Linked DNA regions of Drosophila melanogaster. The protein of the gene in region 1 interacts with the protein of each later gene in a pairwise test. Each region holds a gene or a part of one and is shown in the gene's direction. Other genes may lie near its edges.

Region 1 (7,936 bases):
GGCAATGTTTTCCACCACCACACACTCCGTGGTAAGTGCTGCCCGATGACAATACATTCATTCGCCCACCTGACTGCTCCATTTCTACCACCCAACACTTGGAATCGGGGAACTGCGTGTGATGTGATGTGACAGCCCTACCTGTACCTAGGCAACTTCAGCAGAAAGCCGCACTACTACTCCGTTAATCGAACCAAGCTGCACGGGAGCGCGGGAGCTGCCCGGTTGTCCAAGTCCACGTCCACGTCCAGCCGGAGTCATGACCTAGTGCTCGACCTGCGGAACCTGCTGAGCCGTTCGAGCGCCAGTATACAGGGCATGGTGGAGAGGGCGGCTCGACTGAATGGCATTCTCGACCGGCGGCTGGTCGATGATGTGCTGGCCAAGGTGACGAGCATGCTGCCCTCCATGCGCGATGTCCGAGTCACGTTGGAGGAGTCGGCCACACAGATCGGTCGTGTCCAGCTGCAAAATTATCAGTTCGAAGTTTCGCTAACCGGTGCAGCAGGTTCCGTGCCCACAGGCGCCAATGTGTACGTATTGCAAATTATCCTTTCGAGGCTCCGCTTAATCCTGGTTTATGTTTTCAGCAAGGTGATTCCAACTATTACACCAGGTCTTCTTCGTCCGCTCTTCTCACAACAACAGCTGTAATTATACGGAAAGTATCTACGAACTATATCTCAAATTTAGCTCTTTATAGAAATCAGATACGTGGCTTTAAGACGGATCGTTCCATTGAGGCGGAACAAAAGCGCAATCCCACAATGACCTCCCGACTAAAGAATGCTCTGGCCAACTCGCCCCAGCGTCTGGATGGGGACACACCCCTTCAGGCTGAAAAACTGAGACGGCTGCTGGCCAAATCCGAAGAGCATGGATTTAATAAAGCCGTAGGACGACAGGGTCTCTCAATTGTTAACCGTACTAATGTTTTGTATTCCAGGAGAGCCTGAAAATTGCCTTTGCCGAGGGCTACTTGGCCGCCGCTAACTCGGAGGACTCTCCAAAATCAGGAAAAACTATGAAATATCTGAAGGTACGAGTTTAAATTCATTCAAAGTGTACCATGATTACTTTGAAAACCACAGAAGGCCTTGGTCTTCTTTAGTGTTATAAATAAATTCTAGTAATTGTCACGCAGACTTTGCAGACTATCGTCGTTATCGTCGTGTTCTTGGGCATTTTCCTGAGCTTCTTTACAACCTCCAATGGATCCGTATTTCGGTGAGCCTCCACGTTATTAGTTTTGCTTTACCCATCTGATATGCCTTTCTTTCAGCAGCATACAACTGGGCAACCAGGTTGAAGTGGACCCTGAGGAGATCAACGTCACTTTTGAGGATGTCAAGGGTTGCGACGAAGCCAAGCAGGAGCTCAAGGAGGTCGTTGAATTCCTGAAGAGTCCGGAAAAGTTCTCAAATTTGGGCGGAAAGCTTCCAAAGGGAGTGCTCCTGGTTGGCCCGCCGGGTACTGGCAAAACACTGCTGGCCCGTGCCGTCGCCGGTGAAGCCAAAGTTCCTTTCTTCCATGCTGCCGGACCGGAGTTCGACGAGGTGCTCGTAGGCCAAGGAGCCAGACGAGTGCGTGATCTGTTCAGTAAGTAGATTTCAATTATCCAAAGTGCTCAACTAAACAAGAACATCATCTTGCAGAGGCAGCAAAGGCCCGTGCCCCTTGTGTTATCTTCATTGACGAAATCGACTCGGTGGGCGCCAAGCGAACCAACTCTGTGCTGCATCCTTACGCCAATCAGACCATCAATCAGCTGCTCTCCGAGATGGATGGCTTCCATCAGAACGCTGGCGTCATTGTTTTGGGAGCCACCAATCGTCGCGACGATTTGGATCAGGCTCTGCTGCGTCCCGGCCGATTTGATGTAGAAGTCATGGTGTCGACGCCCGATTTCACTGGACGTAAGGAGATATTGTCTCTGTATCTGACGAAGATTTTGCACGATGAAATAGACTTGGACATGCTGGCGCGCGGCACCTCTGGTTTTACTGGAGCGGATCTGGAAAACATGATTAACCAAGCGGCGTTAAGGTAAGGAATAACTTGTGTTGTATTATTCAATCACAATTTTGAAGAGCGGTACTAATAATTCTAACATTTTGGCAGAGCTGCCATCGATGGAGCCGAAACGGTCAGCATGAAGCATTTGGAAACGGCACGAGACAAAGTACTTATGGGACCCGAGCGCAAGGCTCGTCTACCGGACGAGGAGGCCAACACCATAACCGCTTACCACGAGGGCGGCCACGCGATTGTGGCCTTCTACACCAAGGAGTCGCATCCGCTGCACAAGGTGACCATCATGCCCCGCGGACCCTCCCTTGGACACACCGCCTACATACCGGAGAAGGAGCGTTACCATGTCACAAAGGCACAGCTGCTGGCCATGATGGACACCATGATGGGCGGTCGTGCTGCTGAGGAACTGGTCTTCGGCACGGACAAGATTACGTCGGGAGCCAGCAGTGATCTCAAGCAGGCAACCTCGATCGCGACGCATATGGTCAGGGACTGGGGCATGTCGGACAAGGTCGGTCTTCGCACCATCGAGGCGTCAAAGGGTCTGGGCACCGGTGACACCCTTGGTCCCAACACCATTGAAGCCGTGGACGCGGAGATCAAGCGCATCCTCAGCGACAGCTACGAGCGGGCGAAGGCTATCCTGCGAAAACACACCAGGGAGCACAAAGCGCTTGCGGAGGCGCTTCTCAAGTACGAGACTCTTGACGCCGACGACATCAAGGCAATACTGAATGAAAGCCAGACGTAGTTCCCCCATCGGTGTGGTTTGATGGTGTTCAAGGATCCAATTGGAAGGCCGGGTTGGTCTGCCACCGGACATTCAGCTGAACTGCTAAATATTTTTAGTTACAATATACATATATAAAAAACCGGAGAAAAAAACCAAGCAAGAGCGAGACGCAGACGGACAGTTAAGAAATAAAATGTTACACATATTCAGTTATGTTTTCCATCATTCACGTTAGAATTAAATATTAGTTTGAGTAATAAATTAATTTGAAGTGGAATCCACATATTGTTTGCGCGCCCATATCGATGTGACCAGACTACTGCAACCTATGTTAGAAACCATTTTCTAGAACTTAAGTTATAAATATATTTTCAATGTTAAAGACATAATTAACAAATATAGTTTTGATCACATTTTTTGTGGAATCCATTCCATGCTCATCCATTTTAGTATTTTTCATTGTATATTTGACGTTTGCGGTATATTTGAACAGCTGCGTCGCGGTCACACTTTCTAGCTGTCGAATTTCCAATTCATGTTTTATTTTTTGCCGAATAAATTGAGATAATATTCTGAGAAAATGTGCGACTACAAGGTCTCGGAGCGGGCGTACGCCAAGTTGATATTCCACGCGGCCAAGTATCCACACCAGGCGGTCAACGGACTCTTGCTGGCCGAGAAGACATCGAAGGGCTCCCAAGTGGAAATCGTGGATGCGATTCCGCTTTTCCACCAGTGCCTGTATGTCACCCCCATGGCGGAGGTGGCCCTCATGCTGGTAATTACCAATTGCCCTTCCTAAACTCACATCACGAGGGGCTCGGTGCATTTGTGTCCGGACAGCAATGTGGTGCGCCCCATAATGGAACTATTATGGCTTCAATTTGTATCTAGATCCTCGCACCCTGGCCAAACACTCCGCTATCCAAAAGATATATAACTATTCTAACTTATTGCGGCTGCATAGTTATCCAGTGTTGTGCTTAGAACAGAAAGGTTTATGTTCCAAGCGATCTTTATTTAGTAAAATGTACCTTGTACCCCACGATGGTATTTTAATATTAGCATATCAAATTCAAAAACTAGTGTCACACCACTTTTACCCTGTTAGAAGTTTATTACCCAAATTAAACTAGCAGTCTTAAAGCATTGAAGTTGTGAAGACTGAATTAAATTTAAAAGCCGATAAGGTTGTACCATTGTTTAAATTAAAACATTTTATAAAATAACGATAATAATACATTACCTTACACTTTCAGATCGATGCCCACGCCGAACGGGAAGGATTAGTAATCGCAGGCTACTACGCAGCACCGGAGAACTTCTACGACAACCAGGTCGACAAGACCCCAGCCGCCAAGATAGCTGACAAGATCCAGGAGAACTTCAAGAACGCCTGCTTTGTGGTGGTGGACAACAAACTGATGACGCTGCAGCACGACCGAGCCGCCATCCAGGTATTCAACTGTCCCGGAGACTCTGGAGCAAGGTGGTCAAAGGCCAAGTTTACGCTCTCACAGGCGTCCGATACATTGGAAGGCGTGTCGCTGCTGCTGAAGCGCGGAGCCATGCGGGATTTGGTTGACTTTGACAACCATCTAGATAATCCGGACAAAAACTGGACCAACGACTTCCTGAATCAGCCGCTCAACGATCTGCAGAAACTGTACTAGTCGTCCGTTTCAAACGTACGTTTTTTTTTTAGTCTAGCAAAATCGCATTCGAGGGAACATGCCGGAATTTCAACCTTGCAATTTAATTTATTGTAATTACATTTGGATTTCAGTAATCTTTAGAATAATGCATATAAGTTAAATAACATTCAACTAATTAATAAATAATCAATTCTTTCATCATGTTTTGAGTCAAATGTTGTCTGCAGTCCGAGTCCGTCTGTTGGTGCACCTATTGTAATATCCTTTTTAAGTCCGGTCCGGTCCGGTTCTGTTCTGTTTATTGTGTTGAGTAAACCTAAGCGCGTTACAATTATCGTTAATAAATACAGATGAATAATATGTATATAATTTTGCTTTTGGTTTGTCTGGCTTGTAAATTGAAATATTTTACAATAATATTGTAATATCGCGATTGCTGATTATACATAGGTATACATAATACGTACTTATGTGGATATATCGGAGATCGAAAGTATCGCAAAAACGTTTATTTATATAATTTCAGTGTATTGTATATTTTCATATTATCTGATCGAACGCATAACGAACTCTTTACACCGTACACTAAACGTATAGGGGACCGGGACTACGAATCACTGATCACGGATCTCTGATCACCAACGGGATGCCATCCTGAGCACCTTACTCGTATTTGATTTGCCAGTTATATGCTATATGCTTCTGTAGTTCTGTGTATAAGGAGTATGCTTTGGGCTTGTATATAATATCTTTTGCTTGATTGAGTTATGTCTCTTGTTGGTTATTTTTCACCCAGTGTCCGCTGGAAGGGATGGGCAGGTGTGGGTGTGGCTGTGGTCGTGGTCGTGGGCATGACATGGGGGAATCTGTTCTACGTGGGGCGCCTTTTGATTATATCCTAGCTATACAAGAGCGCCTGAACACGCAAGCATAATCAGTATGTAAGAGTATGAGGCATATTTCGCTCGGACTCTTTCTCAGTCCACATCGTGATATATCTGGGTTGGTGTGTCTTGTGTTCCGTCACCACATGCTATGTTAGTTGATCTATAAGAATGCAATAGAGAAGTCATGTATCAGTGGGATGCTGTGGGGGAATGGCTAGGGAAGAACACCCAAACGAAAGATGCACTGCAATTTGGAAAACTCTAGTAGTGTACGATTCTACATGGACGTGTGCGAGTCTAACTCTGTGTGTGATGGGGGTGGAGCTGTCTAGGTGTGGAGGTGTCGTGGGTGCAGCGGTACGGGACGTATCTATGTGTGCTGGGGATCGTGTCTAGAGTCGGTCTCCTCTGATATTTACCATTCCCGCGGACAGAGAGTTGATGGCCTCTTCCACCGTCGGCTTGTGTCGATCGATTTTAGATGAGTTTATGGGCGAGAAGTTGTCTACGATTGCAAGCGTGAACGAATACACATATACAGATAGATATAGAAACACAAAAAGCGATTTCAAAGCAAATCTCAAGTGCCAATTACCGAGATCACCACTCGAACTGGAGTCCGTAAAACTTGGTGTGCCCTCTGTCCATGTGGGAGTGGAGCCCTCACCTGAAGCGGGCGGGGTCCAGGCCAATCCGCCGCGGGATCCGTACTGGCTGCTCGACGACGTGTCCACCGCCAGTAATGTATCCAGATGGACTTCCGAAACGCTAGTTAAACAATAAATCAATTTGTTACAAATGGGTATTTCCACTCGACGGCGGGATAGCTTAGATGGCTAACATACATAAGCATTAATACCTCACAATGTCCTCCTTGTAGGAGCCTCGATAGGCGGGTCCAATGTTCATCTTGCGATCCAGATAGTAGGACTGCTGATGCTGCTGCGACTGCTGGTGATGGTGGTGATGATGATGAGACCGGCGACCTATCGACGAGCTGCTGTTCTTGTTCGAGCTGTCCTCGGAGATGTCGTCAAAGGCGGGGGGAGGAGTCGAGCTGCATGAGGGCGTTGTGCCTAGCAATACAATGAGCAGAGCAAAATATACAACGGAATGAGTGGCAGAAGTAGACAGTAGTAATAAAAGGTAGCTGGGTAATGGTGTAGTGTGGCTGGGTAAGCGAGGTGCAAGCGAGTAGCTAATCCCGTCCCTGTCCGCGTCCAGTCGATCCCTGAGTGCCGTCGCTCTCGGGTATCGTGGAGGGCGCTGCCTTGGGCGCTCGTCTCTTGCCCCGTCTGATCTGCTGTCCAGGAGGACTCCTCGCAGGCTCTACGACCGGGTCGGGAAGCGTAAGCTTGGGTAGAGGTCTTCTAGGACGCTGTGTCGCCTCCAGTTCTCGTTTGACCTCCAAAAAAGCACTGACCGACTGCAGGAGATTATCCTCCTCCGGCTGGTTCTCGCAATCCTCGCCACCGAGCGCCAAATCCACGTAGTGAAAGTAACGCTTCCGCCTCTGATGTCGCTGCAGCTTCTCTTGAATCCCTCGCCTAGGAGAATGCTGGCTGTGAATACTGCCCGAGGATCGGGAACGTCCCGTACGATAGCTTTCCGCTCTGATCGGCGGAAAGCTCCGAACTATGGAGCCCACCGATGACCGATCACTGCGCGCCACAAAGCTGTTCTTGCGCTGAAAGATGTCCACGTGGTTGAGGAGTCTTGGCTGCTGGCGCCGGAAGCTACTTTCTGATCGAGCCGTGGAGTAGGCGGAGTGCAGGGAATCCCGGCGCCGCAGCGAAGAACTTCTCAGTAGAGTAACCGTTGGGTCTGCCAGAGGAGCAGGCGGTGCATATGGACCATATGGACCACTGTCCGGACCATCGAAGAGATCATGCAGCTCCAACCAATCCTGGACATTGCTAGGCGAACGGCGATCCCCGAATCGCGGAATGCCCTCGTTCGCTGGCACCTGAAGGGTGTGGGTATGTGCTGGTGCCGGGTTGGGATTAGTGGTGTGCGGTTCTGTACCTGGAGTCGTCCGATCCTGGGCATCCTTGCGCCGTGGCGAGCCGCGTGGCGGTACTGGCGGTGGCACTCGCGTCTTCAGATTACTGGCCGCCGGCGTACGCTGCTTGACGGGCGGTGGTGCCCGTTCACTGGCGCCACTGGTGGTTGCTGGACCTAGGGCAGTTGCTCCTCTTTCGGCTCCACCTGCCGCTCCCGCTGGCGTGGGCTCGGTGGTGGGCGGCTTGGCTGGCTGGTGAATCTTGCCACTGCTGTGCGAGTGCGAGGCGTGAACCGCTGAGCAAATTATAATAGGTTTAGGAATCGAAAGAGTGTTTTAGAACAAGTTGTAGTCGTGGTTAGTATACATTAATTTTTAGAGTGATTAACTTACGCCTGGAGGCCACCTCGTTGTCGCTGTCAATGGAGCGCTGAATAGCCTTGGAAAGGCTTTTTCTCTTCGAAGGCGAATGCTTAAGCGCTGCAAAAATGATGGAAATGCAGTAATTAGTTGCGGAACGCATAAATTTGTTTCGATCAAAAGAAAAAGTTCAAAAAGCATAGCACTTCCAAAGCAACTATGCGAAGCCAAGAGCAATACGGTTGCCAGGATGCCAAGGATGCCA
Region 2 (7,977 bases), on another chromosome or scaffold:
ACTTTTGACTAAACAAACGATTGTACCCTTGGAGGCTGCCTTTGGAAACCTGGAAATTAAATCGAATTGACCAATATAAGCACTAATAATTTGTGCAATAGATGCCAGAATGTAATGGTTCCAAATATTCTCAGAAGTGGGTTTCCAGTTTCTGTTCTTTAAGCAGGTTACATAGATAAACAATTAAAGAAATAGGAGTAAAAACAATTTTATAGTCAGTGCATCCAAGCAACTGTTTTTGGTGGTCTAGTATTGTTGACGGCATTGAAACCGGATAATTTAAAACATTTATTATTGAGGTAGGCAAAAATAGTCCTGTAATAAATTTAGATTAAACGCAATGAACTGCTTTGAATCATACTTTTAATCTTTGGCCTCAAGTTTTAAGCAATATTAACTCGTGCCCATGTGCTTACATCCGTAAAATTAATCGGGCACTGAACGACATTCAGAATAAGTCGAAGAACATTTATTCTGAAGATGGTGCCTATTGTATACTTGACTATTCGCTGAGGTCATTGACTCTTATTATTGTAAAAATTGCTTTAATGCACTAGATTAATTCTCACTAGGTTTGTGCGTGTCCATCGTCATACAATTGCAAATTTATATACGTACATGGCAATAACCATATGCATATTTACTTGCATAGCACTGTAGGTGCAATCGACGACTGCAGGGCAGCGAGGGCAGCGCTGATAATCCAGCGGACGGTTAAAAATAGTCCAACAATGGGACAGAATGCAATCAGTGGAATACCCCTCCCTCCTTCGGCATATTACTTCAGTTTGTGGAGGAGCCGTTGCCAAACATCCGTCCGCTGTGCGATTTTCTGGAATACTTTGGACGGATGATGTCCTTGAAAGTGAATGCGGATGCGAGTGGAGGCTTTTCCGAATTGCTCGTGGAGTCCGGACCCTGTCCTTGTGAGGAAGACAGCGTCGCATAAGCTGCATTCCTGCTGGTTGGAAGTCCATCGAGATATTTTAGCTGGGGAAGCACCTGTAGTATATACTCGCGGGGTCCTTGGCCCCCGAAAACTGTGCGGATGCCAGGATTCCCCATGCAAGAGAGCTGATCCAGCGCAGGACAGTGCCGTTCGATGCGGTGTATCCAATCGGTTATATTTGCTATATCGCAATTGTTGATCCTGCAAGACGAATAGAATATGTGTTATTGCGTGGACCCATGTATGCAAGATTCAGGGTAATCACCACAAGATCCTTAAGCTCGGCAAATAAGGAAAAGTGTTTATGTCCAGGTTTACGTTGCGGTCCAGGATTAAAGTGTCCAGATCCTCGAAAAAGGAGAGAAATCTCAAGTTTCGGAAATCATTGTGACTCAAATCGAGAAACTTGGTCTGCGCTGCGAATTTGTCGGCCAGTCGCCGCGGAATTGTCTTCAGGTTCTCATAGGCCAGCGAAATGCGTCCGTTGTCCTCTAGGATGCTTTCCGAAAATGATACATCTTCACTTGGACAACTGCTGATGGAAATGTTGCCACTAAAGGAATACGGATTCGGCGTAATCATCTTCCCCACGTTGTCTTCGGTCAGCAAAACGTCGTTATATTCGTAGTTCAAGCTCTCCAGCGACTGAATGTTGGCACAATTCCTGAGGACCTCCGTTAGGCAGGGATTCAACGGGCTGGAAGCGGGATATTTTGGTCATTACATGGATTTTTGAATGCCTATCTACTACCTGTCTTCGGAGTTGGAGCGTTCAGAGGTCGATGTTCCAGACATAACGGCGTAGATCTACATAACTGGCAGCAGCTCCTATTCTTGGTGTTTTCCAATCGGGATCGGGACTCCGTCGGATGGTATTTATTTTGGTCCAACGTCTGTGGTAGACTGAGGGAAAAATGACACTTGACTCTCGCTCCGCGCAGATTATCTGGATCTTCCGCTCCCCAAGCAAACACATACCCATATCTGTGAGTGTATTGAAACAATTGTCATCTCGGTGGTCACAATCACCCAACGCACTCAAAGTACACTCGAAAAAAGCTCTGTTGGAAATGTAAACATGTAGTGAATCTTTTCTGCCACAATTCCTCCTTATTTTGAGATAAGTTTATAAATAAACGTTTTTTTTTCTCTGTAAAATTACTCGTTCAGATTAGTAAGTGTAAATGCACAAGTCGAGAACAACAAAGTAAGGTATGAGGAAGAAATCTCTATTGTTTTTCCTTTGTTGATGCTGATACTCTTCCACGGAATTATCTACGGAGATGGTGTGTTAGTTTTGCTGAACGCTTGGTATACTATTTAGTTATTGGTTTACCGAACTACTTATCCAGTTAGGAGTACGTTTGGTAAGAGGGTTTAAGGTGTTCTTTCTTATCTCTTTTATCAAACTCAGGAACTTTGTATTACCTTACGTGGCTGGGAACAATTGGACCATGTTAATGCGCTGCAAATAATTAATAAGAGCTCCTTGTAATATAAATCACATTTATTTACTTGTTTGTTCATATAGAGCTAAGTTGATCGATTGTGTCGTATGCCGAGTGCACTCAGAAACGGAAGGGAAACGTGAAAATATGTTGATTATGTGACTATACATATATACTAACATAAGTAAGCCATATGACTTCCTTAATTATCCAATAGGAATCTAAATTTATAATGTTTTCCGGTTGATCTTTTGAATTGGACTTTAAGATATTTGAATGGCAGAACGCAAAGGGTACTCTGCAAAAATGTTATTACTTGTACCCATCTTGTACCCATATCTGGCATACCACAAGGGAAACACCTAGGTTCGCTCCTTTTTACCGTATTCATTAATGACCTAGTTATTATAGTTATATCACCTTCTCGTTTACTTATGTATGCAGATGAGAGGAAAGGATATATATACATCATTGGATCGGAAACGCTTTCTTTTACAAACTAGTCAACAAATCCTGCATACTGTGTAACTGTAGAGTAGAGTCTTACGATATTCAAAAAGTAGGTTGGCAGCGCCACGCCACTGTTATTTGGTATAATCTAACGGCCCATTATGCTGCCACACTTTTATTTTGCCAGGAAAGGAAATCGGCAGTTAAAGATTACAATTGGAAAATTAAGTTAAATTAATGAGATATTTAAGTGCGCCTAAGTGAATATGTCGCTAGATTATGAGAAGATGAGCTGGTCGGGTGAGTTTTTGGCTTTTCCCGGCTTCAAACAGGTGCAGACCACGTCAGTGGGTTGCTCCCAATCGCCCGGTTTCCGTGGACCCAAAAAACGGGGCCATGAATGAAAAGTGCGGTATCATAATCGTATGATCATCCTTCCAGATGTACGCGATCAGTTCAGAACATGGCGCGAGGAGACGGGTCGCCACAGCGAGGAGGTGGTCCAGCTGTGGGTTGCTGTGCTGGAGGACAAGGTGCACAAGACCGGCAACGAGCGGCATCTCATCCTGGAGCAGGTGATCATCGCGGCATTGGATACGGCTCGCTTTGACATCGCCACCAAGTGTACCAAGCAGCTGGCCCTCGAGTTCCCGGGCAGCCTGCGCGTGATGAAGTTCAAAGCGATGCGCTACGAGGCCCTGGAGCAGTACGATGAGGCCGACGAGGTCCTGGATGCAATCATTGCTAAGGACGAGACAAATGCCGCGCCCAGGAAGCGCAAGATTGCCATCCTTAAGGCCCGTGGTCGTCGCCTGGAGGCCATCAAGGAGCTCAACGAGTATCTGAAGAAGTAAGAAAGCTAAGTTCATGGTGTTTTTGGAAGAACGGAACCAAATTAGTTTCCGGCATCCGGTTGCTAGACAACTACTTATCTTACCATGTACGATAATCTCATAACTATTTAATATTCCTTCAGGTTTATGTCTGACCAGGAGGCATGGCATGAGCTGTGCAACATGTATCTGGCTGAAGGCGAGTTTGGCAAAGCTGCCTTCTGCATGGAGGAGGTTTTGCTGCACAATCCGCATAGCCATCTAATACACCAGCGTTTGGCAGAAATACGATACACAATGGTGAGCTATATAAGCCCACTAACCAGTAATGAAGTCCATCTTATGAATTAATTTTCTTTCAGGGTGGCGTCGAGAATATGGAATCGGCTCGCACTTACTATTCGCAGGCCCTGAAGCTTAATCCGCATAACTTGAGGGCCCTTTATGGCATTTACTTGTGCTGCAACCATTTGGACAACTCTCGAGCCGTGAGCTCCAAACGGAAGGAGCTGCAAAAGTTGAGTCAGTGGGCCCTCGAACAACTTTTGACTAAACAAACGATTGTACCCTTGGAGGCTGCTTTTGGAAACCTGGAAATCAAATCGAATTGACCAACATAAGCACTACAAATTTGTGCAATAGATGCCAGAATGTAATGGTTCCAAATATTTTCAGATGTGGGTTTCCAGTTTCTGTTCTTTAAGCAAGTTACATAGATAAACAATTAAAGAAATAGGAGTAAAAACAATTTTATAGTCAGTGCATCCAAGCAACTGTTTTTGGTGGTCTAGTATTGTTGACGGCATTGAAAAACATTTATTATTGAGGTAGGCAAAAATAGTCCTGTAATAAATTTAGATTAAACGCAATGAACTGGTTACTTTGAATCATAATTTTAATCTTTGGCCTCAAGTTTTAAGCAATATTAACTCGTGCCCATGTGCTTACATCCGTAAAATTAATCGGGCACTGAACGACATTCAGAATAAGTCGAAGAACATTTATTCTGAAGATGGTGCCTATTGTATACTTGACTATTCGCTGAGGTCATTGACTCTTATTATTGTAAAAATTGCTTTAATGCACTAGATTAATTCTCACTAGGTTTGTGCGTGTCCATCGTCATACAATTGCAAATTTATATACGTACATGGCAATAACCATATGCATATTTACTTGCATAGCACTGTAGGTGCAATCGACGACTGCAGGGCAGCGAGGGCAGCGCTGATAATCCAGCGGACGGTTAAAAATAGTCCAACAATGGGACAGAATGCAATCAGTGGAATACCCCTCCCTCCTTCGGCATATTACTTCAGTTTGTGGAGGAGCCGTTGCCAAACATCCGTCCGCTGTGCGATTTTCTGGAATACTTTGGACGGATGATGTCCTTGAAAGTGAATGCGGATGCGAGTGGAGGCTTTTCCGAATTGCTCGTGGAGTCCGGACCCTGTCCTTGTGAGGAAGACAGCGTCGCATAAGCTGCATTCCTGCTGGTTGGAAGTCCATCGAGATATTTTAGCTGGGGAAGCACCTGTAGTATATACTCGCGGGGTCCTTGGCCCCCGAAAACTGTGCGGATGCCAGGATTCCCCATGCAAGAGAGCTGATCCAGCGCAGGACAGTGCCGTTCGATGCGGTGTATCCAATCGGTTATATTTGCTATATCGCAATTGTTGATCCTGCAAGACGAATAGAATATGTGTTATTGCGTGGACCCATGTATGCAAGATTCAGGGTAATCACCACAAGATCCTTAAGCTCGGCAAATAAGGAAAAGTGTTTATGTCCAGGTTTACGTTGCGGTCCAGGATTAAAGTGTCCAGATCCTCGAAAAAGGAGAGAAATCTCAAGTTTCGGAAATCATTGTGACTCAAATCGAGAAACTTGGTCTGCGCTGCGAATTTGTCGGCCAGTCGCCGCGGAATTGTCTTCAGGTTCTCATAGGCCAGCGAAATGCGTCCGTTGTCCTCTAGGATGCTTTCCGAAAATGATACATCTTCACTTGGACAACTGCTGATGGAAATGTTGCCACTAAAGGAATACGGATTCGGCGTAATCATCTTCCCCACGTTGTCTTCGGTCAGCAAAACGTCGTTATATTCGTAGTTCAAGCTCTCCAGCGACTGAATGTTGGCACAATTCCTGAGGACCTCCGTTAGGCAGGGATTCAACGGGCTGGAAGCGGGGTATTTTGGTCATTACATGGATTTTTGAATGCCTATCTACTACCTGTCTTCGGAGTTGGAGCGTTCAGAGGTCGATGTTCCAGACATAACGGCGTAGATCTACATAACTGGCAGCAGCTCCTATTCTTGGTGTTTTCCAATCGGGATCGGGACTCCGTCGGATGGTATTTATTTTGGTCCAACGTCTGTGGTAGACTGAGGGAAAAATGACACTTGACTCTCGCTCCGCGCAGATTATCTGGATCTTCCGCTCCCCAAGCAAACACATACCCATATCTGTGAGTGTATTGAAACAATTGTCATCTCGGTGGTCACAATCACCCAACGCACTCAAAGTACACTCGAAAAAAGCTCTGTTGGAAATGTAAACATGTAGTGAATCTTTTCTGCCACAATTCCTCCTTATTTTGAGATAAGTTTATAAATAAACGTTTTTTTTTCTCTGTAAAATTACTCGTTCAGATTAGTAAGTGTAAATGCACAAGTCGAGAACAACAAAGTAAGGTATGAGGAAGAAATCTCTATTGTTTTTCCTTTGTTGATGCTGATACTCTTCCACGGAATTATCTACGGAGATGGTGTGTTAGTTTTGCTGAACGCTTGGTATACTATTTAGTTATTGGTTTACCGAACTACTTATCCAGTTAGGAGTACGTTTGGTAAGAGGGTTTAAGGTGTTCTTTCTTATCTCTTTTATCAAACTCAGGAACTTTGTATTACCTTACGTGGCTGGGAACAATTGGACCATGTTATTGCGCTGCTAATAATTAATAAGAGCTCCTTGTAATATAAATCACTTTTATTTACTTGTTTGTTCATTTGTAAGTTGACCGCTTGTGCTGATTTCGACATGCAGGCGGAAACAGAAGTAAAACGTGAAAATATGTTGATTATGTGACTTTAATCTAGTCTTACAGCACGGCCCAAGTTATGTTTATTTTGCTATTAATCAAAGTTTACTATTAATGCTCACTACAGAGGCTTGACTGTAGTTACACCTTACACACTGATCGTAACTGTCTAGGCTGACATCTTTGGCTCTTACCCCAAGCTTCGATTGGAATCACTCACTCATTCATTAAGTTAATTTACCCACGAGCACTCGCAGTCGAAAGAGACCAAACGGCAGCACTAGTAGGCGTTATAGTCGAACTCGGAGGGGCGAGCCCCCGGCGGACTTTCGCTCTCTGAAATACCGCTCGTAAAGCTGCCTGGTACTATGTTACTCTGGTCTCGTACCGCTGGGGCTGGAATGGAGCACGGCGAGTGGGCCAGTTGTCGGCAGTCAGCTCCACGCTCTAGACCCCAATAGTTCGGCGCGGCCTACACGCGGCAAAAGCTCAGCAAGATCGATCCGAATCGAGTCGAATCGAGTTGAATCGACTTTTCGAGTGTGTGCGAGTGTTATTTTCGTGGCGGTGCACGACTACAGCTGTTGTCCAATTCTCGAGCGGCGCTTGGCCTCGAGTTGCAAATCGCAGCGGTAATAACAAAACCACGTCTGGGTTTACATAAATATGCAATTGAACATGCGAGCATAGCAAATACTAAATTTAGTTTGTTATTGATTACTCGGATTGCCAGTGGCACCACCTCCCCCCCCCAACGACCATCCATCCAATCGATTGTAACACAGGGAAAAATCCAATAGCTGCAGTACTAATGTGCCATGAAGAGAACAACAAATTTTATTTATATTATACTATTGTGTGGAGAATATGTTAAAAATTACATCATTAAACAATTGTATTTCATTTAAAAAAAAATAATTCATATGCATTTGCCTCCAATTCATGAACAATTATAGTTCAATTATCACACGTTTCAAAAATCACTTAACATTGTTAATTTTACTATTTCAGTTTGTATATTTTTAAGCTGTACAGTTGTTTATAATACTTATATTCGCACACAAGTTGTCAAGTAACTAATTCTTCGCCATCAAATGAGGGCAAACTGTTTAAAACAGGTTTCGGATAAATTACTCTAAGCCAAATTCGTTTTCAATGTGATTAGTTGGTTTAGTGAAGCATAATTTCTTTCTGTGCGACAGACCCCACATATTTATTGATTAACTGACAACATACGATGAGCAACAGCAAACCATA

The links. The genes of interacting proteins can lie anywhere in the genome.
Region 2: the proteins of EMC8-9 (region 1) and EMC2B interact in a two-hybrid assay, tested with the Drosophila melanogaster proteins (2 studies listed by BioGRID).

What each region holds. Positions count from the first base shown.
Region 1 is NT_033778.4:22,878,011-22,885,946, reverse strand, and holds EMC8-9 (ER membrane protein complex subunit 8/9), read left to right. Parts: upstream 1-3,256; 5' UTR 3,257-3,347; coding exon 3,348-3,545; intron 3,546-4,026; coding exon 4,027-4,440; 3' UTR 4,441-4,625; downstream 4,626-7,936. Other genes in the region: YME1L (YME1 like ATPase), read left to right, coding at 5-31, 136-533, 591-650, 704-893, 947-1,039, 1,145-1,227, 1,283-1,599, 1,656-2,046 and 1 more; PIP5K59B (phosphatidylinositol 4-phosphate 5-kinase 59B), read right to left, coding at 6,508-7,607, 7,705-7,791. UniProt on the Drosophila melanogaster protein: Part of the endoplasmic reticulum membrane protein complex (EMC) that enables the energy-independent insertion into endoplasmic reticulum membranes of newly synthesized multi-pass membrane proteins like rhodopsins.
Region 2 is NT_033777.3:16,986,904-16,994,880, reverse strand, and holds EMC2B (ER membrane protein complex subunit 2B), read left to right. Parts: upstream 1-3,002; 5' UTR 3,003-3,113; coding exon 3,114-3,147; intron 3,148-3,288; coding exon 3,289-3,697; intron 3,698-3,823; coding exon 3,824-3,980; intron 3,981-4,042; coding exon 4,043-4,291; 3' UTR 4,292-4,547; downstream 4,548-7,977. Other genes in the region: EMC2A (ER membrane protein complex subunit 2A), read left to right, coding at 1-70; CG31274 (uncharacterized protein), read right to left, coding at 784-1,150, 1,215-1,646, 1,701-1,744; MESK4 (misexpression suppressor of KSR 4), read right to left, coding at 4,996-5,362, 5,427-5,858, 5,913-5,956.